4 linked regions of the Drosophila melanogaster genome follow. Changing the gene in region 2 together with the main gene of any one other region gives a genetic interaction. Each region holds a gene or a part of one and is shown on either strand. Other genes may lie near its edges.

The links.
Region 1: of cpo (region 2) and Nsf2, changing one suppresses a phenotype caused by changing the other (phenotypic suppression), as found in Drosophila melanogaster (one study listed by BioGRID).
Region 3: of cpo (region 2) and jus, changing one enhances a phenotype caused by changing the other (phenotypic enhancement), as found in Drosophila melanogaster (2 studies listed by BioGRID).
Region 4: of cpo (region 2) and RacGAP84C, changing one enhances a phenotype caused by changing the other (phenotypic enhancement), as found in Drosophila melanogaster (one study listed by BioGRID).

What each region holds. Positions count from the first base shown.
Region 1 is NT_033777.3:13,832,945-13,839,605, forward strand, and holds Nsf2 (N-ethylmaleimide-sensitive factor 2), read right to left. Parts: upstream 5,048-6,661; 5' UTR 4,969-5,047; coding exon 4,859-4,968; intron 4,759-4,858; coding exon 4,434-4,758; intron 3,799-4,433; coding exon 2,833-3,798; intron 2,594-2,832; coding exon 1,736-2,593; 3' UTR 553-1,735; downstream 1-552. Other genes in the region: CG31495 (uncharacterized protein), read right to left, coding at 5,830-6,661. UniProt on the Drosophila melanogaster protein: Required for vesicle-mediated transport. Catalyzes the fusion of transport vesicles within the Golgi cisternae. Is also required for transport from the endoplasmic reticulum to the Golgi stack.
Region 2 is NT_033777.3:17,917,847-17,922,852, reverse strand, and holds the start of cpo (couch potato), read right to left. Parts: upstream 3,022-5,006; 5' UTR 1,384-3,021; intron 1-1,383. UniProt on the Drosophila melanogaster protein: May play a role in the development or function of the peripheral nervous system by regulating the processing of nervous system-specific transcripts.
Region 3 is NT_033777.3:29,191,987-29,196,914, reverse strand, and holds the start of jus (julius seizure), read left to right. Parts: upstream 1-1,921; 5' UTR 1,922-2,027; intron 2,028-4,928.
Region 4 is NT_033777.3:7,283,982-7,288,148, reverse strand, and holds RacGAP84C (Rac GTPase activating protein at 84C), read right to left. Parts: upstream 2,188-4,167; 5' UTR 2,045-2,187; coding exon 1,725-2,044; intron 1,589-1,724; coding exon 781-1,588; coding exon of another isoform or gene 757-780; exon of another isoform or gene 698-756; intron 661-697; coding exon 634-660; 3' UTR 520-633; downstream 1-519.

The sequences.
Region 1 (6,661 bases), 4.1 Mb from region 2:
GGCTATGGCTATGGCTACCCAGGATTCCTCAGACGACTGCCGCTGATAAAGCTGGACTGGACCACAAATGGGCGTCGAGCGCAATTAGCGCCATATATCAATTACCGAGCAGTGTGGCACTCCACTCCGCTCCACATTACGTATACGCAGACGACGCGCCGCTAAGGTGTTTTCATTATAAATCATTTATTCAAATTGCATATTACGCCGACCGACTGGCTGTGGTCAGCACCTCGGCCAAGCTGACCACTGCTCTGATTGGGTTCCGGCGTCGGATCTTGTCGCGAACAGCTGATCGATGGATCGGACTGATCGGATCGGATCGGGTGAGTACATGGTATGATAACCACTTGACGCCTTCCAAGCGGACAGCTGTCGGGCGGCGATCGCCGAGAAAAAACAATATTTAAATAAATAGGAGTTTTCAAAGAATTCAAGCTGCTACACTCCGAAACTACCAAGGGAACTAATGTGTCCTGGAACGAAAAGAAAAGGCAATCAATCAATTTGCATTATATATATTTTTGACTAAAGATCGTTTCAGCCGTTCTTATTAAAAAGACCATAGTCTTTGGGAAAACTCCATTTATTTTTAGCTATTGGGTAAATTACATAAATTAGTTTGTTATCCCGTTGGTACACATCAAGTTTATCCATAAAAGACATATCCATTTACAAATGATTCACATATATTTCGTGTTTTTCGAAAAGCTTCGATCGAAATTCAGAAATTGTAGCTAAGACATGCACCTTCTTTAGCTAGTTTTCAAACCCAAAGTGATCTCACTTATGGATGTAAAGAAAAATATAACAAAAATGATTTGTTTTCGTTTTTGGTAAAAAGTCATGTAAATAAAAATCACACGTATTCAAAACTGTGCGCTCTGTAAAATAACTTTCAGAATTATAGTTCTTAAGTATCGGTATAACGCTTAAGCATCTTAATTCAATTTTGATTTAAAAGATCAATCTATTAGGGCTGCATCATCGGATTTTTGTCTTTTTTATTTATCATGGTAAATGCAATATCCGTAAAATCCTTATAAAATACATCATGTTGGTATCAAATTCTCTATGTAAGTCTGTGCACTCAAACTGAGATTTTCATGGTGGACACCGACGGATTATCCTTAGTCGCTAATGCGAGTACTTTAAGTTCGTTGGTATCATCAAATTCAAAACTTACAAATTACTTGACTTTATCTCACAAGTTGGTCTTCAGTTACGCTTTATTATATTTTTTTTTTTTTAGTGGAACTTAAGCGAAGTATAGCGTTAGAATATTATATTGCAGCTGAAACCTATCATTGTGATTCCCTTTTGATAGCGGGAAAAAAAACACAATCATAAAATTGCACTAGGGTGGGTCGATTTCTTCGATTTGCAGAATATGAGTTTATAAAATTATACACTTCCTAATAAACAATAAAAGTGGTCACCGGTTCTGTGTATTAGGCTTGAAGGCAACTAATTTCAAAGTTTCACGAAAGTATAGAATTTTATAGAAACCCACTCTGCAAGTAAGATATTTTGAAATATGGGAATATATTATTATATTATATTACGTTGTACTTTTTTCCCAAAAGGTTATAAGTATTTTTGTAACGGTTTTTTGTTTTAATACATATATATATATTTTTAATTGTAAACACATAACCGTTTTTCCAGTTTGAATCAATCAAATCGAACCACTCTGCTGTTTGATAATGGAATGTAAATTAATTTAAAGGCGTAGCTAGTGCCCTTGCACCCTATCCATTTCCAGACCGCCCTCCTCCTCCATTTTGCTGAGGAACTTGATAACCCGCTGGTGAGGCTCCGATTGCCGGATCATATCGATGAGAGCCAGCAGCTTCTTGATGCCGATACACAATCGCTTACCCGCCATTTTCCTGGCAATGCTCTGCAGCTCCTCGGGACTAAACAAATCAGAATCATCCAGCACGGCAAGCACGTTCTCGGGAGTTGAGAGATTGGACACATGCAGGACGGACGTGAAAGCCGAGAGCATTTCCATCTCCTCGAGAACGTCCCGCCGGCTGGAAGTGCACAGGATCAGCAGTTTTCTACCCTTTGGCGGTTGCTTTTTCAGTAGAACCAATAGCGCCTGCAGCGTGAGATTAGAGTACCTGGGTCCAATTGGACCGTAGTCTAGCAATCGCTCCACATTGTCCACCACAATGCAGCTCAATGTGGAGCGATAGGCGTCGTCGAAGATCTTGCGGATGTGCAGGCACTTGGCTGACTCCGTAAATCCTACCATATCTTCCGGGGAGCAGACCTTAACGAATGGGAAATCACTCAACTGGGCCAGATTAGCGGCCAGCGCTGATTTGCCGGAGTTGGGAGCTCCTTCGATGAGAACAGACACCAGGCCAGAGCTCTCAGTGGCCTTCGCCTGCTGTACGGAGAGCATTCCGTCCTCCAGGAGTTCGGTGACCGGTGGGCCCCAGTTTATAATTCCGCGTGCCAGCAGATTTTCCAGCATCTCCTGGGCTGCTCCAAAGGCGGGCTTGATGTCGTTGTCCAATGCGTGCAGAAAGTCGGCTCGCGTAACACGCAGTTTTTCCATAGCCTCCGGGTCCACGTGAACCTTGGATCGTAGAAAAGCAAATGATGATGGTAATTTTAGAATAGTGGAACAGTCGAACGTTAATCGCTTTCTTGGTTTATCGAAACCAAATTACTCGAAATTAAACGAAACCCGAAACGCAAACCGAGAGATAAATGAAATAAGCGAATACGCCAAATAAATAAAATAACATTTCGATCCGAATGTGAATTAAGAGAACCCCCTTTCTTTGCTTTCACGCCATGCTGTGCATCATATACCTTGGAGTCCGCCTTTATTAACCGATTCATGGCCGTGGATTGGGCCGCTCTAACCAGACCCTCCAACTCTGCGCCACTGAAGTTCTTTGTCTTGGCCGCGATCTCATTGTTGTCCACATCGCTAGCTATCTTGTTAAAGTCACGCATCCGCTTGGTGTGGATATTCAGGATCTGGACGCGACCCTGCTCGTTGGGCAAGCTGATCTCCATTTGCACTTCCAAGCGTCCAGGTCGCAGCAGGGCCTCATCGATCATGTCCCGCCGGTTGGTCATTCCTATTACCAGGATGTTGTTCAACTGCTCCACGCCGTCGATCTTGGCTAGCAGTTGATTGACGACCGTGTCGTGGACACCACTATTACCGGCCACGGATCCGCGAGCCTTGCAAATGGCGTCGATCTCGTCGAAGATGATGATGTGCAGTCCACTGTTCGGTCCCAAGCGCTTTTCCTCCTCCTCGGCCTCGGCAAACAGTCGCCGGATATTGGCTTCTGATTCACCCACGTACTTGTCCAGGATCTGCGGTCCATTCACGATCTTGGGTTCGCGGGCATTCAGCATGGTACCTATTTGCCGGGCCATCAGGGTTTTTCCCGTGCCTGGTGGTCCGTACAACAGAATACCCTTAACGTGCTTGATGCCCAGTTGTTCGACAAGTTCCGGCGGAAAAACACGAGAGGCGAAGGCGCGTCGGAAAATCGCATTGAACTCTTTGTCTAGGCCACCAATGCCCATCTTGCCAAAGTCCCAGTCCGGATTTATGATGGACTGCCGCACGATCTTACCCTTGGAGCGACCCTGCAGATTTAGCACAGAGTTTTCGGCCTTCTCGAACTGCACCACCGTGTTACCGAGGATGCGGCCGAATCGTACGTTCCGAGTCTTCGGTAGGGAATCGCCCACTGTTCGGGGATCCACTGCCTCCAGCGTTTTTACAGCGAGGCCCAGGAATTTCTTGTCTTTGAACTGAAAGGCGGTAAACATCCTTATTAGCAAACGAACGATATATGTACATTAAGGAGCATGTTAGAAGAATTACTATGTTAAGATAGTTGCATTTCCTATGAGGGCAGCCTAACACACTATTTTTAGTTCATAAAAAAGGGGGACATTGTATGCTGAATTATTAAAAAAGATTTGGCAGAGAGCCAAAAAGATGATCTAAGGGAGAGTTACGTGTCTTTGGGTTTCTAATTGTTGGAGGTAAGCTACCTTGTTAATATTTGCATTAGGTCACCGTCTAAATGTGGAATATGAGATTCAGCATCTCATGACAATCAAGACACGTCAGTAAATATAAAATAACGAATATCGAATAACACAAATAACGAATATTCTCACTACCGCTATGCTATGAACGTATAAATCTTTTTGTAAAGTTATACAAAACCAAAATTATTATAAGTGCACACAATAAATGGTGAAATAATGAATAGGTGCGTCCGAGATAAACCGAGAACCCTCATTGAATTGGGTAGTATTTTAACTGGCTCTGGCATATATCACTAATCCTCTCCAGATTACTACCTTAGTTTCAGTCCTTTGCTATCTATTTTTCTATACTGCATACATTTATGGGGGAGCCACATCCACACCATTACCTGAAAGACGAGCGTTTGGCCGACGGTCAGCGGCATTCCGGCGAACTGCATGAGGAACTCCTTGGCCATCTCGTCGGAGTCGTAGGGCTCCTGCGTGGTGGTCTTCTTCTGCAGGAAGTCCGTCTCGAAGGAGACCAGTGTGATGATATCGGCGCTGGCATCGAATCGGTACGGCCGCACGTCTATTTCCTGGTTGATGGAGAGCGTGGCCCACTTGCGCTGGACCAGCGAGAATCCGACGTGGCCGAGCGGCAGCTCCGGCCCGCTGATCTTCTCCAGCGCGAAGATGTAGTGCAGCCCCGGGCCCGGCGAGATGTCCACATATCTGCAGGGTATCAAGCGGTGCGTCATTAGCATAAGCGAAAGTTTCCATAGGCTCGTACGCCCACGTAGGAAGTGGAAAAACAACAAAAACCAACACTCACTTGACCTCCTCCGTGAAATCGGACACATTCACAATCGCCTTGTTCGTCAGGGACAGCTCATCCGTTGGGCATTTGATCGCTCTCATCCGGTGGGCTTTTTCAATTGACATTTTCGTAGCAATTTTATAATATAATCCCGAAATTGTCTCAAACAGCTGATAGCCCGTTGAGGGAGTGCAACCCTGTTCGGCATTGCGTGTGTGTATGCACTGTGATTGCGAGCAAAAGATGCCTGCTACGGCACCTGCAGTGCAAATTTGAATTCATTGGCGCGCATTTGCATTTTCTAATAATACATATATCCCCCGCATTCAAGACTTCTTCGCTGTTGCTAAGCAGCTCTGCAGCACCAGGATTGGTGAAGAAAACAATCCAAAAAATGTGTTGTATCAAAAGCCAAATCCTCTAAGTAAATAACGATAAAATGGGTGGCATTTGCAATTCAAATATCTTTATTTTTACTTATATATATATAATATGGTAATAAAACTTGTTATGCCAATCACCAAAGACACTAGAACAATATAATATATATATATAATATATAATATATATTATATATATAATTATGTATATATATATATATTGGACAACGACATCAAGCCCGCCTTTGGAGCAGCCCAGGAGATGTTGGGCCCACCGGTCACCGAACTCCTGGAGGACGGAATGCTCTCCGTACAGCAGGCGAAGGCCACTGAGAGGTCTGGCCTGGTGTATATATAATATATATATAATATAATAATCTAGTATCTTTGCAATCACATTATCGGGCTGTTCATTTTAGTCTTAAGAACATTGCAATGCAATGGAAGCAAGTTCATCCAAAAAATAATGCAATATTATTTTTTTAGATGGTTTTTTTATGCTTACGTGGTTCTTTTAAATATAAAGCATTACTGAATTATTTGGAATCACTTGGAATTATTTTCCTGGAATTGTAGATACAATATTGCATTTCCTAACCTAACGTCTTAAATGTATTGAGGTACAAGTGGACTAGAATGGTTCCCTACCCATCCCATTGCTTCGCCCAATTTCTTCAGCAATTTGGCAGCTCGACGGTCGGGATTTAGGGAATTCACCCACGCAATCAAGTCAAGCAACCGTTTGATGCCAATGGAGACGTTGCGGCCATCCATGGCGATCTCGATTTGGCGTAGCTCCTCGGGCTCGAATCGTTTTGAAGCTTCCACTATGACCATAAGTTCTTTAGGCGTGGAAACATTTGGCACATTGTGAACTGAAGTGAAAACGGATAGCAAGCCCAGTTCCTCCAGGACATCGAGACGATTGCTTGTGCAAATGATGATGAGCTCGTGGCTGTTGGGCGGTTGTTTCTTCAGAAGAACCGTCAGCTTCTGCAGGAACTCCTTGGAGTACCGCTTACCCAGGGCGCCGTAACCAATGACACGCTCAAAGTCGTCAATGATGACGCAGCTGCGCCTGGAAACATAGGCGTCCTCCAAGACTTCCCGTATTCTCTGGCATTTTTCGGAATCGCTAAGTCCCAGCAATTCGGCCGACGAGATGTATTTTATAAAAGGGCAGTCTGTTTTCAAAGCCATTTGAGCGGCCACCGTAGTTAGGCCTGACTTGGGCTTACCTTCGACCAGATGGCAAGACCATCTTGGGCGTCCGGTGGACAGGAGATCATTCGGATCGAAAGCGGTACGATCTAGATATTCATATGGCATGAGCAGCTGGAGAGTCTCCTCCTGCCGGCCAAATCGTGGCTGAATGATCTTTACCGCGGCCAGGAGATCGACCTGAGTGACTTGAAGGCCCTTCGGGCATCTGGTGACG
Region 2 (5,006 bases):
GATATCCAAGGCTACTGGGAGAGTGTCCTTTCATGTTCCCAGCGCCACTTTGTTGCTGCTGCCGTTCAGCATTTCCCGAAGCTCATTTTTGCACTCATTAGGTGCTGGCGCCCGAAAGTGTGCAGCGCAAGGGGGATTCGGCCAGAACTGGCCAGTGGAGATGGAAGGCCAGGCCAAGAAGAAAATGGCAAAAAGTGAGTGCGGGGAAAATGGGAAAGTGCGCGCGAAATGGCGAAAAGTCAGCAGATGCTACTGGCCGCTGGCTGATGGAGAGCTCTGGATGCCGGCAAGATGAATTTTTGATGCCCCAAAGTGAGCCAGCTGCAGCGAGAGCGGCCTTAAAGTGGCCACAGCTCTAATGGCCAAAAGGTGAGCCAACTGAAACTCCAGTTCTCGGCCAGTTGGAGCATTTTTTTTAATCGCTTCGTTATTCCGCCGTGGGGTGCAGTTGTTCCTGCAAGGCCAAAACCAAACCGTTGCCAGCCGCGATAATTGAAAATTAAATTTAATTTTATGCCCAAAGTTAAACATTTGCTCAGTCGCGGAGAAATAACACGCATACGCACTGTATTCCCTGGCTCGCGGCTTCATCATCGTAGGTGTCCTGCTGCCTGCCTGTGCGTCGTGTGCTTAGTCCCTTTTGCATCGTGTGAACCGGCACAATTGTTGCGGATTTTCACAAGCGATAATCATAAAAATGAAAATTTTAATAGCGCGCGTGGAGACGAAGGAGAAAATCCCCTCTCTCTCTCTCTCACTCCTTCCACACACACTCGCTTTTCCACCGCCTCTTGCGTGTGTGTCGGTTGATTTTTCTAGCTGTTTACCTACACACGCACACATGCACACACACACATGGCCGCCTATTGATTTTGTCCCGTATGTTGGTGCTTGCAGATGTTTGTGGCATGATCCTAGGCGCTGCAGCAACAAATTTCACTTCGACAGGCTCATTATGGTTTAGCGAAACACGAATACCCTCCAGACCCATTGGCGCATAAAATGTTGGGGTCCCGAACGGTTTTATTTTTGGGCTGTTTTGTGGATTACCTAAGCTCACACGCTTAGGGCTAAAAGTTTATGATTGCTTTCGGCGTATGGAAATACATCTGGTGGGGAGGCGGCTCGCCAAAACCACAAAAGCATTCTCGGATTTGATTTTCTAATTAAGAGCCCTTTGACGTAAAGAGAGAATGTCAATTAGTGTAGGCCAATTTTCACCACAACGTTACCGTTGACTAATGCACGGAAACATCATAGCAAAATGTTATATTCTGTTTCTAATTAATATTAATATATCGTTTCAGATGACACAATCCTTTACGTTTATTCCACAGAAGCCCACCATTTTCAGTTAATGGTTTCATTATTGTGAAAACTTACCTTTTAAGAACTTTAGTTATTTTTCAATCCGTCGTCTGGAATTCAATGAAGTCTTCTCGTCATTTGCAATTGGTCCGCTTGATAAAGTAATTAATATTTTCGCGTAGCATTCATAAACACGCAGTCTAATTTAATTGATATGTTTTCTAGTCGTTATAGTTTTAGACTTTTGCTGAGGCTTCCTCAATGATATGTGACAATATTGTTGTATGTATATATCTCTCTCTTGTTATATTCGAGACAACTAATGTAAAACTTCTAACAAAAATTACTGTTCTTTTGGATTTTCTAAGGTAACTAGATCTTAGATAATTGTAAATTTAATATTTATATTTGCTCTTTGCAAGAGCTTTGATATGTATGCGATAATTTGCACAACTCTCCTTAGGCTAGTTCATTTGTTTTGTTTTTTATTTTGTTGATAAGATAAAAAAGCTTGATTAGGGATTCAGCAAGCTTTTTAGGCGTTTTACATGATATGTTTACGTTTCCATTCGTAGATTTTTTTAATTTCTTGAATTACATTTCTTTTAAATGTGCTAATTTAATATACTTTTCATATTTCACCTTTTGGCATTAAACGATTTACATGATATGTATGGTTATCGCATTGGTTTCTATTCTTTTAAGACAATAAAATATCGTTTTGGTTTTTAGGTAATTGCTGGAATTATTTAGCTGCTTGTCTCAGCTTTTTTTGTTGTTGTATATTTAGTTATTTAATATTTTCTATAGACTATAGAATGATATGTGTTGATATGAGTCTTTTCTTTTAAGTTACATTTCTAAAATATATTTATCGTGCGTTTTTTTTTTATTTTGTCAGCATTCTCTTAAGGGCTTAACTTTTGTTTATAAATTTTCCATCCACTGTGAATGTCTTCCACAAAATTGCGATGTTGTCTCTTGGACTTTCTCTTCCGACTCTGGCTCTCTTTCGCAGTAATGGCTGCTTTCTCTTACTCCTCGAGCCCCCTTTCTCCAACTCCGCGACCTCCTCCGCGCTTTCTTCCTCTCGCTCTCTTTTTGCCCACGCTCCTTCTCCACCCCCTTCTCTTTGCTTTCACAGGCGGCAACGGCAGCGGCAGTTTCTCTATGTATTCGTTTTTTTTTCCTGCCGTTGTATTTCAGTAACTTTTTCCGATTCCGCTTTGGGCCCGCATTCGCTTTCACCGAAAAAAACCGTAGGCGAACAAACAACAACAACTCGGGTTGGAAATTATTTATTCAAGTCAATTAAGTTTTTATGCCCGGGAATTTGTCGATTTTCGGTAATTATCTCTGGCGCAGATTGGGTTAATCCGTATATCCTGGAAGATATATGTAGATAGATATATCCTCTTTGCCGCTGCCGTTGGACGGCCCACACCCGTAAAAATAGCAAAGCAATGGAAATTATACAATCACTGGCTGCGAATTCGAAACAATAAATTTTTGGTGGCACTCGCGTTTCGAAGAATTTCTCGATTTGGCTTCGGAATAAGTTGGCTGCGCCCTGCGGGGTATGCAGCGTTTTATTTATCGCACAATTTCAGATATTGGTCTCAATTTGGCTATATTTTTCGGGGTTTTCACTATATATATCGCTGGCCTCTGTGTTCGCTGCGTGTGACTGAGTCGGAGTGTTTTCGTTTACTCAGGAGCCAGCGCAGGATGCGTGCGATGCCAGGCCATGAATTTTTCATCATCGGGCATCCTTATTAGAGATTTTCGCCCCATCTCGTTGAGATTGCTGCGCGCAGATCCAAAAAGCATCCAAGAGAGCGTAGAAAAGAGCGAACGGAAGTCCTGCGAGAGCGCCCACACACACGCACACATTTGTTATTAAGTGCTTGTTGTGGGTGGTGCATCTCCTTAATATTAACCCCCCGCCTGAAATAAAATTCTCAATTTTCCCTGGCCCTTGCATTTCGTTCAAGGCCCATCATAATCTCATTCAGGTATTTTTCCTGAATTTTTTCCTTGCTTTTTCGGGGGTTGTTTGGCTGTCTTCCATTTGGTGGGGGTCCGTGTTTTACGGCAAGGGGCGGCTTTTTGGGGGTGGCTTTATCTTTATCTGTTTGTTTTTCGCTCTCTTGTCGCTTATATAGCTTTCACATTGTCTGCCTTAATGGTCTTGTCACTTTGACATATCCCGTAGAAGAGCGAAAGATAGAAAGCGTATTAATTCTGCGCAGGTTTTTAGAGAAGACGAAAGGCGTACTTTGGTACAATGGTAGCTGAATCGGCTAAATTTATGACTATTTCCGGTGGTTGCCTTGGCTAATACAGCGAAGTTTCTAATTCGCCGCACAATTGAATTGTAGTGGCGCGCCGGCAGGTGTCGCTTTAGTTGTAGATGTAGATTTTCAAAAATATGTATATTTTTCTATTAAAATAAATACGTATTAAAATCATTGTTGTAAAATAAATTTAAAGAATTTTTTTTTAATTTCAATTAAATCACATACTTTTTTTTAATTAAATTTATATGACAGAGGTAGAAGTTTTTTAAAAACACCCTTTCGAACAAATATGCATTTTGTTTGTGATGTAGCACAATATTTTGTTATGATAACCAATGCCTTAAGTAATTATAATTTTTTTTTAAAATATGTTATAATTCAACTTAAATTTAAATTTGTGCTCATCCAAAACCAGGCAGTCTTTAATTGCCTGTGCAAATAGACCTAATTTCCATAGCTTTCACCAGGCAACAAAAATAACAAAATCAGCCATAACGATTGTTTGACAAACAATAATAGAAAAATCAAAATACATCAGGTTTATATGTGTACACTTATATAAACAGCCTGATTACGCAGTTGAGCTTGCAAACAATAAATTAAATTACACCATAATACGTTTGTGGGCTTTCACTTGTATTTGAAGTGCTTTTATTCACGTGCAGCTTGAAATCAACTAAAGTTAACTCTTAGAAATTGTAAAGCATCTCTTCCTTGTAATTACCTTACAACACAGCATTCGCTGGCCCCAAGAAATTCTTGTCAAAAACTTCCTTCGAGAAAGCCCCCTTTGCAGTCTCTCTCTCTCTCTCTTTAATTGCGCATTTCGACTTTTCTTGGATGACATCTGTTGGCCTTCCTGCCCTGCGTCCTAGCCCAAGTATGTTTTCTTCTTGTTTTTTCTTTTTTTTTTTTGGTTAAAATGAAAATCAATAAAAAGCTCAATGACGTCAGCCGCCCAGACACACACACAAACGCACACACACGCACACTTACAAAGTAAGCGGCAACATCGGAAAATGCTGGCGGCCAAATACAGCTCCTGGCACTCCCAGACTCCACCTGCCACTCCCCCCGCCCACGTAGCTTGCTCTCATCTCCGCCGGAAATCCAATCGCTCCCCTTCGTGTGCCAGTGTGTGTGTGTGCCGGCGACTGTGCGAGTGTTGCGGGTGTGCGAGTGTTGCGAGCCGAAGACACTGCACGTGAGCAGGCTATCAGCAATGGAATAAGAGTTTCGACAGCCAGAAACGCGTTTATCTTTCTGTTTTCAGCTGTCATACGCTGAGAACAAATTTGTAGTTGAATTAAGACAAACTAAAGTAATATTCTATTAATTAAATGGTTTTTAGTATTATAATAAAAATATTTTTAATTTGTACCTAGATCAATTCCCAAA
Region 3 (4,928 bases), about 11 Mb from region 2:
CACACATTAGTCCCTCCCCTGGTCGACGAATCGGATTTCTTTGCTCGGTTTGGTGGTCTGGGCCCGAAACTCTGGTGCTGCTCTAAGTGCTCCATTGCGAAATTCTATGCTTCTAATCGCTGAAAATGTTGGAAAATGTTGGAAAATGCTGTCCGCACTGCAACATGTTCCGCAGTTTGTTTACTTTGCGCCTGTTCGCTGCATTTTTCAGCGCGTTTTAATGTTTTAATTGACAGGCAGCCGCCGTTGGCGTTGATTTCGCTGAATTGAGTTGGCTCCGGTTGGGTTTTTCCTTTTTCTGATTTCTCAGTTGTGATTTTTTTCTGGCAGTTCGCTTTTCCCCCTTTGATACCGCTGCGTTTCGCATTTCACAGCTTCAGTCGGCGGTTTCCTTTCTGGGATCCGCCAACGCCATTCCTTCGTGGAATATGGTTTTCCACCACCTCATTTTCACTTTAGTTTTTGGCAAGGGGGATAATTGCAACAGCTGCTGTCAGTTGGAATACAAATGGAATAATTAAGTCAGTTCTTTAACTTTAAGCATTTGCTTAAATTTTCATTTATAAATTGTTCGGAATGTTTTAAAATAGTGTTTATACTCATTAAGAGAAATAATTATGCGAAATAATTATCAATTAAACTATAACAAATGGCACACAACACAGCTATGTGTTTTATAATTCCTATTTTCGCAGCATATTTTATAGCTAGAATGGTAACTAAATAAAAAATATAAATAAAGTGCCCAATTATTTCTGCTCACTTTAATTATCTTTTTTTTTTTTTTTTGTTATTCACAAGCACTGCAAACAGCATACCGAATGGCACACAAATTCTAATTTAATAAATGCGCAAATGACCAACAACACTTCGGGCCAAAACACACTTTTAAGTGCTAGTGTGTGTATCTACACGCACTCACACTTTGGGCCAAGTCAATACCAAACTTGTTTCATTAATTAAAATGTTCGGTTAATTATTCAAATTGCACGTGCCAGCGTCAGCAACTTTTGCGCACAAAACTAAATTGTTTGCTTTTGGCAATGTGTTTGTGCTGAAACGTGATAAATAATACTCTAGATTGCTGAACTTTACAATTGGACATTGGCGCTTATTTGCATTTCAAGTTGGCCGCACTGCAAAGGTCAGTTAACCCGGTGGCTTTGCTTTAACCGAAGGATCAGCGGGCCGAAAGGACATATCATCCATTATGGATGCGGCGAATGCGAATTTTCAACTCCCTGCACTGGGCAGCAGCATACCGAAATTTTCGGCCATTGAAAATGACATTTGCGCCACATCACACCAGGTCTTGTTACGCTACACAGAGAAAAATATACTAAAAATATTATAGAATTTCATTTTATTATGAATTAATCTATTCATATTTGTTTGATATTTTTGATTTTTTTTATATATAAAATACACTATTTACAAAACTTTAACGCATCAAGTCATGCCATTATCATAGAGTTTAAAAATATAAGTAAGCTAAATATTTTATCAATTAATATCTATATATAATATATATATAATATGCAAGCTGGTAATGTGTTTCTTTCAGTGCATCCATCCTCCGGCCAATGCATGCGAAATTTACTTCAACCTAAAGTACGAAAAAAGTGGGCAAACGAAGGAAAACTGCCAGCCGCCTTAAACCGATGTGCCATGTAAATAGTGGAGCTTGTGGGCTCAGAGGGGGGGATGGAGCGGTGGCCCGAGGAGGGGTCGAAAAATCCACTTCATCGGCGACGGTTGGCGCGGAAAAGTGTGTCACCTGCAGGCGGGAAATGCGCAGGTCCTGTGAGAGGAAAAGCGGCTGCCGCCTGATGGTGACTTTTCCTCGCAGACTTTTCACCAACGCCACATTCGCATTTTCCACCAAGGCTGTGGGAAATTCGGCTCAGAACGTGGTCAGACGTCGAAGCGCGTGGTCGTCGAGTTTTCCGAGAAAATCCAGTGGGAAAGCAAACAGTGCGAGGCAGCAGCAGCAGCAGCAACAACAACTATCTAGAGCAAAGGAAATTGTGAGCAATTTGTATTTTAGTAGTATATTTCTTACGCGCGTGAGTGTGTGTGTGTGTGTGAGTCAGTGAATGAGTGTGTAAGTGTGTGAATGTGGTGATGAACCGAACAGCGTGCAACAAGAATAAAAAACGAATGCCCAAAAGTGCCAAACACAAACAACAACAAAAAAAACGAGATGAAAACAGAATATACATAAATGGCAAGCAAATATTTTTCTTCTTGAGCAGGGCAAAGAAAATCACAAACTGCAGCGTATCCATGCCCTCAAACCAAAAAAAAAAGAAAAACAAAAAAATAAAACGAAGAAAACAGTGAAAAGCAATCAAAGTAATAAACGAAAAGGGGGGAATGGCGAACCGAACTGAAAGCAAATCAAAAAAATCAATGCCCTTTCTGCGGAATTATACGTTGCGTATACGTGATATGTACCGAGGTAGCCAAGTCAAATAATAATAAAGGAAATTCTCACGTGACGCATAAAAAAGCCAAGCTCGCACACACACACAGCGATGGCAACAGTAACACGGCATGCCCCTCAAACATACGCACACAGCGGTAAACTTACTACCTGGGACACAAATTGAAGTTGGCGAAACATATTTGCGCAGCAAAGTTGCTACACGCAGCGAAAACTCGCTGCAGTAGTTTCAAATTGTGGGGGGAAACTGTGATAAACACAATTCATAACCAGAAAAGAGTTGAACTAATCAGAAATCTATAAAAGATCTTAAAGTTATGGCTATTTAAAAGCAATGTGGTGCCTAAAGTTGTGGTAGTGCCTAAAAGTAGGCAATGGAATTTGTCATTCGTGAAATGTGACTTGCTGCGTATGTATATAAGTATGATTTGTGTGAAATATCATCATAGCACTGATGAAATTCAAACATTTTCTCATCTTTTCTTGCAAAAGTGTCCCACTTTTCTCCGCCTGCATTTGGAAGGCACATGATTATGATGAGCTTGCCTCGCAAACTTGTTTCTTTTTTGAGGCTCGTGGCTCGAAAATGACAACAGCTGGATGGCCGAGTGGGTGGGTGGCGGAAGATTGCCTTTTGCCGCATTTGTTGCCGCTATTTTGCATACATTGAATTTAATGAACTGCCTGTGTGCGGTGTGTTGGATTTGCTTTTAATAATTTAGGCTGCGCGCGAACTAAATGGCGCTTTTAAAGTACGAACCGTCAGGCGACCCCAATATGGGCGACAAACGGGCGAGATGAGGCACAAATGAAAATATGAAAAAGGGCAGGGAAAACACGAACCATTTAATGCCCCTTCGCACCCTCGTTGCGCCTGTATGGATACGCTGTGAGCTGGTGTGTGTGTGCAACCCCAAGTCGGAAGGGCAGACATACTAACACACTTCAGCCGGAGGACTACGTCATCCTGGCCCAGAAGCTTTGGGGCCAGCAGCCCCCCCCGACAAAGCCAAGCCAAACCACTGCGAACCGAACCCAACCAAACCAAAGCGAACTTCGCTGGGAGCACAACTTTCCCTCGACGTCGCCACATTTTCGCATTCACAATCACATCGCGTGGCATATCCATAGGCGTAAGGATACGGCATAGGCACATGGTCTGGCCTCCACTCACACCATCACACTCGCCTTGCCACACATATACACACAGAGTTTGGCGAATGTGCACATGCACAGTATAGGTGAAGTTATAAGGACTCGAGTTGCGCTGCTCCTCCTTCGGATCGATTCCGGCTAACACAGACTTTGCGGCAGTTGCCGTTGCAAACACTTGAAGAAAAAGGGTGTAACTGTGATCACGAACAAGTCAGCTGCATTTAAAGAATCTTTCAGACTTGGAAGAAGTTAAAACCCTTGATTAGATTGAGATACATTTGCAAAGCTCAGAAGAAAGTAGTGGATAGTTATCTTCTATCTATTTAAAAACCTTTACTTGGTTACATTTTCCGATATTCTGTTTCTATATCATTCGCTTTAGGATCACCTTTCTTTCAGTGAACTAACTCCAATTGCAGTGGCAGTTACTTCGCTACTAGCTGCACGACAATCTGCATGCGGCATGACATCGCGCAGCCGAAGGATCTCGAGGATATATGTGGCTGGCAGGGGGGCGTTGCCGATGGAGACGTCATCAATTTCCATCCAGCCTATAAATACAACTAAAGTATATATGCCACAATGTGATGCCTTTGCGCCGGCGGCAAGTGTTGCAGTAAATTTCGAGGAGATCCGACTGCCGGCATGACCCTTGACCTTCGACTTGCACCATGTGGCATGCCCGTTTATGCTTCGATTTGCCGCCCTATACGCCATATCCACCCCACAGCCCCACGCCACCGCTCAGGCAAATGCAAAATCATTTGCCATCGAAATCGCATGTCGACCGGCAGAAATAAAACTGAAAAAAAAAGAAGTAGAAAGAGCAGACATGCCGTATAGCAAACCGAAAACCCAACCAGAAATCCTTGTCGCACAGTTTGCGTTTATAATTTATATACGACGTTCCCCGTACGAGGAGGCTTCTCTTGTTTTAGTTGCGCATTCGTCCTTGTCCCGGCCAAGTATCCGTATCCAAGGCGGACTCTCAATCGAAATCCGCATGGAGGAGGCCTTTAAGTGCGCCCGCTGGCATTTGGTGCTCCTCCCGTTTAGGCCGACAAGCTGCCCGCTTTATGGCTATTAAAAAATGCATTTAAATACACACCACGGCCTGCCATTTACCATATAAGCCATATACCATATAATCTTCGATGCGGCCTGCGTCTGTCTCCGGTTTTCGCTTCTCGGGCCTCTTCAGCTCCTCCTCAGCTCGAGTATGAGCTCCTTTGGGGCGTTGTTGAAAATTGAAATTGCGCGCTTATTTATGGAGCTCTGGCGGGGACGCTGGCGTTGATTGCCGTAACGCCCCATTGCCTGGTACATG
Region 4 (4,167 bases), about 11 Mb from region 2:
AGTTTTGTTTTGCTTTGCTTGTTTTTTGCATTTAATGGCCGCACTTTTTTGCACGGCACTCTCCAAATTGTTTTTAAAATGCTAACTTTTTTCTTGGCGCTTTAACTTATTTATATGTGTTCGCGGCAAAATATTTTACTTTGTGCTTTGGTTTACGCTTCAAAGAAACATAAATATGGGAAATGGAAATTATTAATTTTTTACATGTTTTCAACGGTTGGGAATTAATCAACGTTCGGCGAAAAAAATTGCAAATTCAATTAAAAATGTTTATTAATGTTTCAATACTCGAAATATATAGTTTTGCGATAACGTCGCTCTGGGCCATGCTAGATTATTTATGTGGTGCGAATAAGATTTTGGCCTGGCTTTATATTTAATTAGCCGAATTTCATATATGGAAATAATGGGTGTTTTCTGAGAGTATCTTTTGGTGATTCAATAAATCAAGTATTGCACTTGAGATGTCAAGTACTCTTGTTAGCCGCATATAATTCAACAACACATACACAACATGTTAGAGATCCAATTATTATTAGTTCTTCAACTGTAGTGAATAATGAAAAAAAATACAAAATAAAATAAAAAAGGGTGACTGCATCCATTCTCGATGTCTCAGTCATAAGACTTTCACTATAGGTGAGTACTGCTAAGGTTGACCTGAAACAGGAAGTATTCAGTGAAAGATTTGTATGATATGTTTGATTGCTTGTATTGAGTTTGGCTTATTCGAATATGAAATTCTATCCAAATCCGTTAAAGGGAAACCATAGGTCTTACCATTGATCTAAAGTAGGTCTTAACAGAAGACCATCCCAGATTGGACGAGCTGTCCCAGTGACGGTGATTGTACCGGTCCTCAAAGTCATAGGTGCTGCCCAACGAAGTGGGAAGGGGATGGACCTCCAAGAACTGAGACCAAAATCCGGCAGGCATCAGAAGTAGCACCTTCAGCACCCGCTGCCAAGTGACGACATTTTCGAGGGTTAGATCCAGATCTCCGAACAGAGTTGGAGCGAAGATCACGGCAAGATTGTTGACCGTCATGCGGACAGCAGGACTTTCGGCAATTTTCTGCCAGTGAAGCATTAAGTAGGCCAACGTATCCCTGTGAGCCTGATGCAGCTCCAGAACCGCTAAATATACCGCCATCTCCACAGCCAGACGATCTTCGTGCCGCGTGGCCTCCTCGAAATCCCTTCGGTGGTAAATGGGAATCAGAGGGTGAACCAACTGCCGAAGAAAGTCCTTAACACAACAGCACAGTGTGTGGGTGTCTTTATTGCCCAAATGCGGCGTGGACTTGCCACGCAGCAGCTTCCGACGCAGTCGTTTGCATTTCTCTCGGGTGGAGGACACCCGGTAGAGTCCCTCCTGCTGCAATCCCCGCGCCTCGATCTCCGTTACACAATGGACAATTAAGGCCGGCACCATGGGCGCCACCCGAGGCGCATAATCGCTGAGACATCCTCTCTTCGTACCGATTTGAGGCTGGGGGATGCAGTTCACCGTCAGCTGGCGGCAGCAACCGATGTGGCAGCGGAGCGGACACGCCCGACACCTCAGGCTGGCCATGGCGAAGCGGATCCTGGAAGAAGACCAGGGACACGCGGTTAGGGAGGTAAATGCTGGTCAGAGAGGGTTGGGATGTTATTTAACTTTTCATGTTTTCCCTGAATTCGAAATCCTCTCAGAAGTTCCACCATTCGGTGATTGCAACTCACCTTTTGCGGCAGTGTACGCAGTTCCCCACGTTGTAGTAGTAGGACTTAATCTTGAAATTGTGCTCCCTCAGCAGCCCCGAGTGGGACTGCGAGCAGAAGTCGAGTCCGTCCGTGGATAAGCCATCGCAGCCACTGGGATTCATGTCCACGCGATCCTGCAGCGAGTCCAGGGACTGCGATCCAAACATGCGGTAGTGCTCGCTGAGGTCATCGTAGGACCTGTACTCCCGCAGAAGCCTCCGTTTGTTCTGCATCGTGGGGCGAACGGGCGACAAATAAAGTCGATTTGAGGGCGTCCGACTCCCAGAGCCACTAATCATAAAGTTGGCGAATTGATTCAGCTGTTCTGGTCAGTTGGCAATTTCCGAAGAGAGGCCACTTCGGCTTGAGTCAGCTACGCAGAAGTTATCGGCTCGCTTCTCCGAATACTCGACCGAAATGTTTATTTACTCTTACGGTTTATTTGGAATCGGGTGAAAGCTGATAGCTTAAATAGTTCTGGCAGCACAAAAATTCGATCACCCATAGAGAGTGCCTACTGTGGGTCGTACATTTGTAAATATTTCTGGATAATTCATACACACATCTAGGGTGCTCCGCAGAAATTTAATGGGCGACTAAGGTGTTACTAAGAAATATCAAAAATGCTGTTTTCAATACAAAAAAAAAGTGAATCAAATTATTATAAACATTTTTTGTGCCTAACAATAACAGATATTTGCCCTGTCTTCTTCATATAAACAAGTCAGTGGTGATCTTTTTATATTTTCGATTCAATTAAATCGTTAAAGACAATCAATCACACCGAGATTCAATGTCACGATACAAAAGCTAAAAATCCCTAAAAACAAAAAGAATGTAGAAAATCGAACTAAAAAAACAATTTGCTAAAGTATCTATGAATTCTAAGCGCCCAGAAAATGGCTCAATGGCGCCGCTAAATGGATGAAAAATTCATGGAAAACCGTTTTGCGGCCACCAGACATAGAATGCAACCAGCAAAAATGTAGCACGAAAAAATGCTGCAGTTCATGTGAGGCCGGAACGTCAGAAAGCGAAAATGTTGAGTAAACGTGCTGCTAAAAAAACACAAAAATTAGAATTTAAAGGGACTTCGAGCTTGGAACTTTTGTGGAAAACGAAACATGGATCTGTCTGTTGATTTAATGGCATCATTGGCATTGATTTTTATGCGATTTTAAAGTTTGGATAGAGTAAAAACAAAATTATCATGGCACTTTTCAGTTTTGGGCTGTGAATTGAAGAGCAGCGCCAGCAAAATTAACGAGCAAGGCGGGGAATTGGATTTTTATGCTTTTTTGTAGTCGTTTTTTAGGCGTCAGCTGCATTGACGCCGGTGTGCCTATGTGTGCGTGAGCATTTGAGGGTGTGGGTTTAGGTGTGTGTGAGCTTTGGGCTGAAATACTAAGGATGGTTGCCACTGCCACATTGAATTCGTAGTTATTAATGCGTATTGAAATGCACACATTGCAGTGAGTGAGAGTGTCTCTCTCTGTGATTATGCGGCGTGTGTGTGGGCGTAGTATTCATAATTGCACTTGTGTGGGCTTCTATCTGTGTCCGACTGTTTTGTTTGTATTCAAAGTCCACAAATACGAGTCACGCATCGCAATAAGCCCATGCAATCCCCTGCCTCACTCCTCACTCCACTTTTCCCAAAATGCTTTTTTGTACTTTTTCTGATTCGCCTCTGACTGTGTGTGTTCAAATACGTGTGTGGCCCTATGTGTGTGTCTGTCCGTTGCGTATTCCAAAAAGCAAAAAAAAAAAGTACAGAAACACAACAAAACAGCATAAAAAATGTTTGGACATCCACAAAACATACAAAAAAGAGGGGAGTTCTGGGCAAAAACGAGTGGGAAAAAATGGCATCAAAGCACGTTGACAGTGTTGCCACGTGGTGATAATTAATTTTTCACACACAAAAGTTGATCAAAATGTTTTTATCCGGTGCCTCCAAAATTTAAGGAATTATTTGGTTGCATCGAGCTCAAAATATTTCAACTTTAAAGCTTCTTAACAGAATGAAAAAGTTTAACGCAATTGTTATAGATTCAGGATGTTGCTTAAAAACATCTTAGCACATGGTTTTCTGTACTAAAACCATGAAATCAGCAATTAATTAATTAAAAGTCTCAGATGTATATCATTTAGCTACTAGGGAACACTCTTAAAATATCCACATAGAAATAGAAATATTAACACCCACCAGTATGTGGGATAAAACTAGATATTCAAATTCTGAAAAGCTGGCCTACACATAAGATGACCAATATGATTTTAAGGACAAAAAATCAGTTCACTAAGTGACCTTTTGTGAATTGAACTATAAATCGCAAAACAACCTGTTAAAGAATTCCGCCTCAATCGTCGCTTTGTCTAACCCAATTCTAGTTGGGCACTAAAAACAACAATTTATAAT